Linked DNA regions of Arabidopsis thaliana. The protein of the gene in region 1 purifies or fractionates together with the protein of each later gene. This does not show direct contact. Each region holds a gene or a part of one and is shown on either strand. Other genes may lie near its edges. The genes, in order: AT1G61150, AT4G09310 and AT3G55070.

What was found.
Region 2: the proteins of AT1G61150 (region 1) and AT4G09310 fractionate together in Arabidopsis thaliana (co-fractionation; one large-scale study listed by BioGRID). This does not show direct contact.
Region 3: the proteins of AT1G61150 (region 1) and AT3G55070 fractionate together in Arabidopsis thaliana (co-fractionation; one large-scale study listed by BioGRID). This does not show direct contact.

The regions. Positions count from the first base shown.
Region 1 is NC_003070.9:22,540,493-22,544,248, forward strand, and holds the start of AT1G61150 (LisH and RanBPM domains containing protein), read left to right. Parts: upstream 1-2,004; 5' UTR 2,005-2,181; exon of another isoform or gene 2,182-2,370; 5' UTR 2,371-2,435; coding exon 2,436-2,489; intron 2,490-2,614; coding exon 2,615-2,774; exon of another isoform or gene 2,775-2,811; coding exon of another isoform or gene 2,812-2,875; coding exon 2,876-2,982; intron 2,983-3,081; coding exon 3,082-3,213; intron 3,214-3,344; coding exon 3,345-3,501; intron 3,502-3,741; coding exon 3,742-3,756. Other genes in the region: EDA16 (SNF2 domain-containing protein / helicase domain-containing protein / zinc finger protein-like protein), read right to left, coding at 1-118.
Region 2 is NC_003075.7:5,900,801-5,904,556, forward strand, and holds the start of AT4G09310 (SPla/RYanodine receptor (SPRY) domain-containing protein), read left to right. Parts: upstream 1-2,012; 5' UTR 2,013-2,148; coding exon 2,149-2,408; intron 2,409-2,746; coding exon 2,747-2,905; intron 2,906-3,061; coding exon 3,062-3,197; intron 3,198-3,347; coding exon 3,348-3,424; intron 3,425-3,497; coding exon 3,498-3,639; intron 3,640-3,756.
Region 3 is NC_003074.8:20,406,154-20,409,909, forward strand, and holds the start of AT3G55070 (LisH/CRA/RING-U-box domains-containing protein), read left to right. Parts: upstream 1-2,120; 5' UTR 2,121-2,223; coding exon 2,224-2,544; intron 2,545-2,905; coding exon 2,906-3,100; intron 3,101-3,274; coding exon 3,275-3,397; intron 3,398-3,541; coding exon 3,542-3,736; intron 3,737-3,756. Other genes in the region: AT3G55060 (CAP-gly domain linker), read right to left, coding at 1-69.

The DNA.
Region 1 (3,756 bases):
TCCGATAAAGCGTTTCGATGTCAATAGTCTCGTCATCATCTTCAAACTCAAAACCACCATCACAATCATCAACCGGAAATTCACCTCCCAGACCAAACATTGAACCTTCCTCACCCATCAAAAATCACAAAAAAAAAAAAAAAAAACTAACCCGAGAAAGAACGAGAAGAGGAACAAACCCTAAATCAGAAAACCCAAAAGTCACGGAATTTCAGCTCCCGGGAAACCCAAATCGAAATTCAGAAGTAGACGCGTAGATCCAGAGATTGTAGAATTTTCAGGTACGACGAAGAAGAAGGCTTGAGAATTGGGTTTTGAAGGAATTTTCGAGGAAAGGTAGAGAGCAGTTGGGATAGAGAAAATAAAAATCGCGACTTTTTGTAGCGACGGTGGCTTCTTTTTATTGCCTTGTTCTCTCTTTTGGCTTTCTCCGAATTGGAAAAAGTAAACACCACAAGGCTATGGGACTTCCGGCTTTAAATAAGGAACGGTCGAACATTTGTTTTTCTTTTTCTTTCATTTTTTTCCATTTTTTCATTATTTAATAATGCATGATTATATATAATTATATTTTATGCGCCGTCATCTTTATTGTTAAAGCAAAATCACAATTTAAACAAAAGGAAACAACTTTAATTAGTAGTAGGAAACTGAAGTGTTTAAGTAATGGAGATTTTTTTGAAGTGTTTGCTAATCATAATTTATTGTAAAAATTATTTTTAATTGTGTGAAAATTAGATTTTCTACACTAACAAAAAAATTTCATATGTTAAAGAAAACAAATATGAAACTAAATCACAAAGATCAATTGGAATTAGACATGTGGATCGACTCATTAGAAAAATAATCATCTCAATCAATAAGAAGAGATAAAACATATATTTGACTAAATGATCTTACCAATCTTGTGGTCATAAAATTCTACAAAGCACTATATTGCTAATTTCTACAAAGCACATTTGTAATCTTCTGAATCATTTGTTAGCCCTAAAAGAAGACTAGTATTATACGAGATCACCATTTTTATGATTGATCAAATATCTTGTAGAGCGCAAAACTTTGTAGGTAGTTTGATGAGAAAGAGCTTGCTTATTATGTGATCAACAATTCCGTTCTTGCCATGTCTCAAAGTAGTTGCTTGCCATATTAATTGATATGAAGAGCCTTTGATTTTGCAGAGATAGGAATTGCCAAAAGAAACCATATGAGGATTGACTCGAGAAGTTTTAGTGTAACTTCTTCACTAAGTCCTTCCAAACCAGTTGGGAAAAATAATATTAAAGAATAAGTGGTCCATTGATTCTTAGTCGGTCAACTAGCTAGAAGACCTCAAATTCTGCAATCGATCCTTTGTCTTATTGTGGTTCCACACAAACAACCATGTGCAAAGAACAAAACATGTTTTGGGACTTTAGTTTGAAGATGCAATTAAACATATTGTTAGATTGTTGACCAAGAAAAAACATATTGTTGAGATTGAAAGATATATTTTGCATCGGACTGCAAAATGTTTATGTCACATATTTGTTACCTAATAGTTGATTTTAATAGAGTATAATAGAGTATCAGTTATTGGTTTTAAATTGTGTATCAAATTCCAAATAATATAGAGATTTTTAACATCAGTCTTATTTAATTATGATTTTAACCAAGTGTCGTTAGCTCAATTGGTAAAGACCTTATGCAAAGCTTAGAGGTCGCCGGTTCGAGTGACGCTTGGGACGAAACTAATATTTTATGCTGTGGTTTCAGGCCTGGGGGATTACGGACTTTGACCCACAACCTCCAAGATTTAAAAAAAAAAATAAAAAAAAATTATGATTTTAAATCGAAATTTTGTTCTTCAAAGGTAAAATAGTTTAAAAATCTTTGGGTATTAAAATCATTTGGAAATGAGTTACATAATACTATCCGGTATATAAAGAACCAAATCCAAAAACAAACCGGTTCCCTTAATAATTTAAACCGGATTATTCATCGACGGTTCGTCAACATCCTAATAATTTAAACCCGATCTCTTCTTCTCTATCGAAAACCTCCAACTTTTTTTTGTTTTATCAGATTGTAAATTTAGGGAAGAGACTTTCGCAAGCAATCTAGAAGCAAATCGATCGCCAAATCTCCGGATTATTTGCAAGAATCGTTCCCAGATAATCTTCCCCAGATTCTCCACTTCTCCAGGTACATCGTTATATTCAATTTTTGAGGAAAATAGTCGCACACTCTCTCTTTCTTAGAACTACCACTCCTGTGCTGTTTTGAGATTAAAGCTTGAATTTTGACTAAAGCCCTAAATTACTTTGTATCACTATCTGATCACAAAGTCAATTTCTTTTGGAAATAGCTCTGATCGGAGTGTTGCTCGAACAGGTATTAATTTCGTATTGAGTGGATTAGATTAGATTTCAAGATATGAGAGCCTCACTGGCGTTCTAATGTCACTGTTTCGTATTTTTATCAATCAGCTTGAAGAAGACGACGAAGATATGGTAATTTTGACTCCTCTTATGAGTCTGTTCTTTGTGTTATTTGATACAACTTGATGATGGGTTTTTGGAAAACTTTAATCTTTATGCACGTTGTGTGACCTAGTTTTAATCGTGGCTTGTCGCAGGCTACTTCGAAGAAAATGATCACACGTGAAGAATGGGAGAAGAAACTAAATGCTGTGAAGCTTAGGAAAGAAGATATGAATACTTTGGTGATGAATTTTCTTGTGACTGAAGGATATGTTGAAGCTGCTGAGAAATTCCAAAGGGAGTCTGGAACCAAACGTATCCTTTTTCTGATTCTGGTTTTGAGTTTTTGTTTATGGAATTGGTGTGTTTGATGTTTAGCTTATCTACTCCTTTTGAACTTCCTTATCGAGAAACAGCAGAGATAGATCTTGCGACCATTACTGATCGAATGGCTGTTAAAAAGGCTGTTCAAAACGGAAATGTCGAGGATGCGATTGAAAAAGTTAATGATTTGAATCCTGAGGTACAATGCTTCTTCATATCTTGTGTGGAGAGTAGTCATTCACTTTTCTGATGTAATAAAGAAGCAAAATCTGATTCTTCTTTGAACCCATGCTTGCAGATACTAGACACGAATCCGGAGCTCTTTTTTCATCTTCAGCAGCAAAGGTTGATAGAATTAATTCGACAAGGGAAGACAGAAGAGGCCTTAGAGTTTGCTCAGGAGGAACTTGCACCACGTGGCGAAGAAAACGTAAGTCTTTGTATTTCACTTTGATTTCTGTCGTTAAAGATGGTGTTTTCCATGTGTATTGCTCATTGACTGTGTGTAATATCTGTTGTTGCTGAAACTTCATTCATACAGTCTGTTATATCTCTCTGCAGCAAGCGTTTCTGGAAGAATTGGAAAAAACTGTAGCCCTACTTGTTTTTGACGATGCCTCTACCTGCCCGGTTAAAGAGCTTCTTGATCTTTCCCACCGTCTTAAGACAGCAAGTGAAGTAAATGCAGCGATTCTTACAAGCCAGAGCCACGAAAAAGGTAGCTTTTGAATTTTGATGTTATACTGGTTGTCTTTTAGTAGCCACAAAATACCATTATAATCTCGAGCATCATTCATTATCAATCTTAAGATTCAAAGTATATGCAACTCTTCTCTACATAACAAGTAAAATTTTTCATTCATTACTTCACCCACAACATGTATCATCCAAGTTCTTCTTGAAACTTTCCATTTTCCTCCATGGTTAATGTAGCAACTCAATGTTTGTGAACAAACAGATCCTAAACTTCCAA
Region 2 (3,756 bases), on another chromosome or scaffold:
AGTGAGGGGGGAGTTTTTAGCCTTGCTCTTATGATTTAGGGATTTTCTTATTCATGACAATATTGGACCCCTAGGTAGTACTAATAACAAGAGAGGGTTTTTGTTTTCAAATGTTGGTTTACTGGTTAGGCTTTTATTCTCCACCATGGTATGGTTCCTATAAAGCTACATAAGAATTCATTTTGAAGTTTGTTTGGTGTGTGACCGAAGAACCAAAAAAAAAAAAACAGTTGCTCATTCTTTGTCTACTTATCTCACTATTCGGCAATGCATATACGTCCTAATCTTTGTTTTGCTTATCTTAGTTATTCTATCTCTCTCCCTTACCTAAAAAGCTGGCTTCAAAGGACTTGACGGATCGTTTATAAAACAGACTAGTCATAAACATAGATTTATATTCGAGATGGCTTCAAATACGAATCTTAAACTGTTTATAGTATATATAGTATCTAATAGCTGCGGGTGTTGTGAAAGGGAACTTAGTGTTGACCATGGTCATGGAGTTTAACCAAGAAGTTTGTTGAACCAAGGATTCACACAATAGATTTGTTTAGAGAGGGAAAACAAATCTAGTAATTTCTCTTCATTAGGTATTCTATCCAAGACTCGATTACAAGAGGGGTTCTAATCTCTTATGAAATACATTAGGGTTTTGCTCAAGAACAGAAAAAGAATTAAAGTTTTAAAAAGGTATAGCTGCATCCATGATGGATTGCCTACGTACCCTGTGAAGGGATCAAGCCATTCGTAGTTCTCAATAGGTATAAAGTTCTATGTTTCTTGTGAATATCCCAAGATCTCCCCCTTTTTGTGAAGTCCCTAAGGCACTTTATATAGGATCCTTAAACCGCCTCCCTAGCGATATTCTTCGGAAGATTCTTATTTATCCTTAGGTCGGTTCTAGAGGATAATCGTCCTAAGGATATTCTCCTTATTCTTCGGAGGTTTTGGGGAGATTTCCTGATTTCGACATTATCTTCAAAGATTCTCCTTTATCATTTCTGAAAGTCCCATAAAAGATCCCATTTTACCGGAAATGATCCTTGGAGAATGAATGGTTTTTACAAGTCTTTGCCTCGCGTGTTCTTCACGGCTCGGTGGTCGTTTGAGAGGTGGCTTCGGGGCAAACGGTATGTACCGGCTCGGGGCGCGCTTGATGACTGTCCATTAAGCTCAGTTGGCTGTCTCCCGAGCCGATATAGATGTGTCCCGCAGCGTTCTCACGATTGGCTCGGGCTGTGTTCATATGATTAACACCCGAGCCATTTTACAAACTCTCTTCGGGACGGTCGATCGAATAAGGTCCCGAGGTGCTTTGTTCTAGGCTAGGGGCCAATCATATGTTTAACCATGAGGTGATTGTTATTCTTAGACTGTTTGGCTCGGTCTTGCTTGTGGGGGAATCCGACCCCAACGAAGTTGTACCTTGACGGAAGAGAGCACGAATGGGATCGGTGCGGGTGTCTGGAAAGTGCCTGAAGAAGGTTCATGTGATGATCAAACTCTGGAATGCTACTGGGAGTACTGACTGTACCAAAACCTCCTCCAACAGTGCCACAGGGAACAAGCAAGCCCCATATCAATGTGTGATGAAGTTGAAGGAGCAGGGTCGTAAGGTGGACTTCCACAGTTAGAAGGAGGCTTGTGTGATGGAGGAGCTCCATATCCTTCGTCATAGTACTGATTTCCGGATCTGAATAAAGAAGCATGGCATCATTTGGAAGTAAGAGATCACATGAGAATACCATCCCTAGAACCGAGAGAGAAAAGTTTATGTTAATAAATTTTTATTGTATAATTGATATTGAAAAACATTAATAAACAGTGTTCACATAAGGTGTAAATTCACCCCAAAAGCACTCTAAAAAGTAAAAACCAAAAGAGAAAAAAACATAGAAATGGTTACTTAATAATATACCGAGTTTCATCTATTTACTTAATAATATACGGTTATTTGATTTACCGGTTAACTAAAAAATATCTGGTTTAATCGTATTTATTGTTGGCAAACACAACATTGGGCGCGAAGTGGTTTTTGATGCCCTTCAACAACATTTGGGGGTTTCATTTCAATCGCATTTCTAGGGTTTCTTTCTCTACGATTCAATAGATTCGGACGAATTGGGGGATTCTGACCAGAGAGAAGCTATGGAGGAAAACGAAGAGGAAGAAGAATTGCGGCCAACGGCGCTATACACGGTCGGTGGTTCAGACGAATTTACCTTTGTTTCTCCCGATGGGCTCTCCGGTCAATACACGGGCCCTGATCACGACGGCGTAGTTCTTCAGACTGAAAATCCGGCGCCGACTAACTGTCTTGCTTACTACTTCGAGGTTCATATCATGAATGCTGGTGAAAAAGGAGAGATCGCGATTGGTTTCTCCAAGGAACACATCTATAGCGAAGGGTATCGTTTTCTTTCCCTTTCAATTCGCATTTACCACTTATTGCGTGATTTGATACTCAATACAATCATTGATTCTGTTTGATTTGGTACCTGAGACTGAGAGAACAAATTGGGAAATAGGTTTAGATACAATGGTAGATCAGTAGTTCAAATCACTGTTTCAATGGTTTGGATTCGTTACTTGGAAATAGGTTATGTGATTTGCTGCTCAATTTGATTGTGTTGGCTGTTAGATCTGGTATCTTACAAGTTAATGGGAGATTTGCTTTGTTAGATGTTTTCACCTTTCAGTAATTAAGCATTCCAATTCACTGTTTCATGTTTCTCTGTAATGTTAGATATACTGTCAGAAGCTGTGCCTACATTGGTAACAGTGGACTCATATGCTCTCAAAATGGAGATGGTGATCGAACTGTTGCTAAAGCCAGTGACACCTATACAACAGGTGATTTAGTTGGTTGCGGTATAGACTCGGTTTCACAAGAATTCTTTTTCACGTAAGTAATAACTGTTTCCCTATCTGAACATGTTTCATTACAATTGGAAAAGTAGATATCAAGATACACAATTCATTTCTTCATGTCACAATGTTTTTGACATGTCCCTGCGTATGTTTTACTTGCTGACATCTATGACTACTTCTTTGATTATAGGAAAAATGGAACTATCGTAGGGACAATCCCCAGGCAATTTAGGCGTCCTGTATACCCGACAATTGTTTTGCATAGCCAAAACGAAGCTGTCACTGTCAATTTCGGCGGACAGATTGCGTTTTCTTTTGACTTTGAGGTAAGGTCGTACTTTTCTTTTCTTGCATAGTCGGAGAATAACTATTGAGTAAGCAGAATAATATGCATCTCTCACATATGTCCATATTTGCATGTATGTGGCATATTTTTCTGATACAATATTCTATTATCTGATCCACCTTTATTTCAGCATTTTGAAGAATCATTGAGGGTTAAAAAAGAAAGGGAAATTGAAAAGATTTCCATGTCTCGCAGCATTAGTCATGGGTAAAGTGTCTTTTCCTGCCTGTTCTTAATTGTAATTCTTGTTTCTGTTTGTGCTAAAGCTTCCTTTTTCCAGGCTTGTAAAAACCTACCTTCTTCGTTATGGATATGAAGATAGCTTTAGAGCTTTTAACCTGGCTGCAAGTCGTCATACTGTTATTGCACAAGAAAATAGTTTTGATGAGTATGAATTGCATCAAAGGAAAAAGCTCAGAGAGGTACTTTTCACTGCTATGGTTATCTTGCTGTAATTTTTTTTTTATTTTTTTTCTGTGAGGTACAAAATCAACCAAAAGCAAGCTACATTGCTACATCTTTTCTGTTTCATATCGAAC
Region 3 (3,756 bases), on another chromosome or scaffold:
TTCTTTTTCGCAGTTAACTTGTTTATCATTTCCATTACCAGAAGATCTGAAAAAGAAGAGCTTTTTCATTGTTTTCTCCAATCAAAAGGTGCTATAACAACTGCAGCTGCAATCAAAACATATAGAAGCAAATCAATAGATTGTAAGATATCTCCTGCACTAAACTAGGAAAAGTTCACATTTTGCAGCAAATTAGTTCATGTCAATCTCCAAAAAAAGTGCTCCAAGTGAATCTTACAAACAATTTGCTCGATGAAAGATAAACCAGTTCAACAAAAGAAATGAGAAAAAACAGCATAAATGATCTTAGACTCGAGATAATCAACTATAACTCTACTCAGAGATTCAGAAACTCAAGACTTATCATAGTAAACATCGAGCCAAGGCCTAAAATAAAAGACCAGACTACCCTAAGCATCTTCAAAGCTACGATAAACCCTAGAGACTAATCAAATCACAAATCGAACCTAAATCCTACTTGCGGAGAAGTTGATGAAGATTATGTTCGGCGAGATTACTCGAACACTAACAAAATCTAGAAAGGCTCTCTCTTTAAACGATCTCAATCGATTTCGTCGCCAGAAAATCCAACTCTACTCTCTCTACTCTCTTCTAATAGTTGGAAAATTGAAAGAAAAAGGAAAAAAAAACACTGAGAGGCGACAGCTTTTTATGACGACACAATTGGCTTTAAAGAAAACCAAAGAAACACAGAGAAAAATTTTAAAATTTCAAAAGGGAAGATCTTTAGAATTTATGAACATACCATAAAACAGCGATTTTGCAAATCGAAAATTCGAATGGAGAAGAAACTGAAACGCAGATTTAATAACAGCGCTAGATAACGTGGATTTGATCTAAAGGGAGAAGTGCAAGAAGTGTGAGAGTGTCTCGTTGACGACGAAGAATCCAAAAGAACAAAACGGCTCCAAAAATCTTTATTGGCGGTGTGATAATGTAAATAGAGTATCCAGTGAAGGGTATTTCTGGTAACCTTTTTAAATCTTTCATTGCGCGGCGGATAGAGCCATTTGGACTTTTGGAGGAGCGGGGCTACAATTATTTGTTTTTCACTAACAACACATAACAGTGATCAATAACAACATTGGAAAAACTTGTAAATTACAAATTAAATGTAGGGTATTTAGTTGTTTTAAGATAAGTATAATAAAATATATAGGTTTGAGTGATATGAGGTAATTATGATACAGTTTTGAAGTGATAACGATAAGAATTGTTGGTATGATACCGTTTTTGTTGTTGATAAGCTTTGAGACCGGGAAGGTGTATGTATACCACCATACCTAATACTATAAATTACCAACTACGCTCATAATCAATTATATAATTATAAATTTGGTATAAAAGTCGAGAAATCTAACAAAAATGATAAGGTTATTTCTCAATTTACTTTCATGCTTTATTTTTCTTCTTTATGTTTGGCAATAGCACCTAGTATTTAAACAATACATATAGTATTTCGACACATAGTTGCCCGTAATAAATTGAAATAATATAAAAGAGAAGTAATGCGTTATTTTAGATAGAAATCTGACATCATATATTTATAATTATATTTTCTATAAATAAAATATTATCTATATATAGTTTTTTTACACTTGGAATTATATATTGACCACACATCATGTGTTAAATTTTTTTTTTTTTTTTTTTTTTGCATTGATACTTTGGCCATATTTTAGTTTTACTCATAACATATTAGGTATAATCACGATCAGTCCTAATATTTTGAAAGCCCAAAAAAAAAAAGACTTTATTTTGAGATATTTTTTCACAAGGTAAATTTAATTTCAGTAAAAAAAGGGTTTTTAATAATTAAAAATATCTGTATATTAATATTTTGTATAGACTAGTTATATATTAATCAAAAATTGGGAATCCTAGACTATTTTTGTTTCATCAACTGGACCTGGTACTGGATCAAACGTTGCTGCAAACTAAAATGACAAAGCCCAAAAATCAAAACATACTCTCGGTTAGGGATTAGATCAGACCGGACGGTTTCCTACCTTTTCAAACGCTGTCGTTTTGAACTATAGAGTACCACAAACCAACGACGCCGTTTCACTTGGCACTATTTATTTCTTCTGTAGTTTTTTTTCTTCTCATACATATATCAATCAATCAAGATCACCACCACAAGGCAAAATCTAAACTCTCTCTGCAAAATTTCTGCTAACTTCTTCCTCCCATTTTCTTGCCATGGAAATCGATTCCGCCACCAACGGAAACTCTGACACCGTCATGACGGAATCCGCCGCTACGATCACTCCGTCGCCGGTCGTCGTCTCGTCTTCGAGATCGAATCAATTTACGGAATCTCTCAAGCTTGAGCACCAGCTCCTCCGCGTTCCTTTCGAGCATTACAAGAAGACGATCCGTACCAATCACCGTTCTTTCGAGAAAGAGGTCTCAACCATTGTTAACGGCGTCGGAGAATTGGCTGATTCCGATTGGTCTAAAGACGATACCGTTTCGCGTCTTACTTGCCTTGTTACTCGATTACAAGGCCTCAAACGAAAGGTTGATTTTTCCGTCTCTCTCCCTCTGTGATCGGTGTTTTAAATTATGTAGACGAAACTGAATCAATTAATTTAGCGATTAAAGTTTCTGATTTTGCTAAATGATATCCACTTATCTGTAAAAAATTTGATCTTCGATGTTGAAGATCAAAGTAAAGTATCTGTCTTTGGCAATTATGTCTCACTAGACATTGGATCTCGATGAATTCAATGTAGTGGTGGAGTTGGTTCATTGGAACTTCCCATCTGACTATTTGCATTGTCTTCTAAATTTTTATCATTTGGGATAGTTTCTATATCTTCTGGAGTAACATCACATGGATATGGCCTGGCTTACGTATTTTTTTGGTTTTGTATCTCAGTTGGAAGAAGGGAGCAATGTGGAGAATTTGCAAGCCCAGAGATGTCGTGCTCGCATCGATCATTTGGATTCAGTAGATGTGGAAAATATTACTGAATGGAATAATACCAAACTGAAACGGATTCTTGTAGACTACATGCTGCGGATGTCATATTTCGAGACTGCTACAAAGCTTTCGGAAAGCAGCAATATTATGGTTTCTCTCATCCTCTTGACACTCATTATATCACACTATTATGCTATATTGCTGTCTTGGTTAATATATCAGAACATATTCTTTGCTGTTTCGTTTTTACAAGCAGTGAAACAGATTTGTTGATTTGTACTGCATCTCTATGAAATGCTAATTATAAATATCTCATCTTTTCAGGACCTTGTCGACATTGACATATTTCGAGAAGCTAAGAAGGTGATTGATGCCCTTAAAAATAGGGAGGTAGCTTCTGCATTGACATGGTGTGCTGATAACAAAACGCGGTTGAAAAAGTCAAAGGTACGTGCTCTATGTACTCTCATGGTTAAGTTTTACTTTCATTTTTTATGAACTCCATGTGGTTTGGCTAAAGTATCCAATTTTTTACCAGAACTCTATGTATAATTGTTCATTGCTAATTATATATTTTCCTTTTCATAACAGAGCAAATTTGAGTTCCAACTAAGGCTGCAAGAATTCATCGAGTTGGTACGAGTTGATACAGCTGAGAGCTACAAAAAAGCAATCCAGTATGCTCGAAAGCATCTGGCATCATGGGGAACAACCCATATGAAAGAATTGCAGCATGTTCTGGCCACTTTGGCTTTTAAAAGTACCACAGAATGCTCAAAATATAAGGTGAAGTTTTCCTTCTTTTG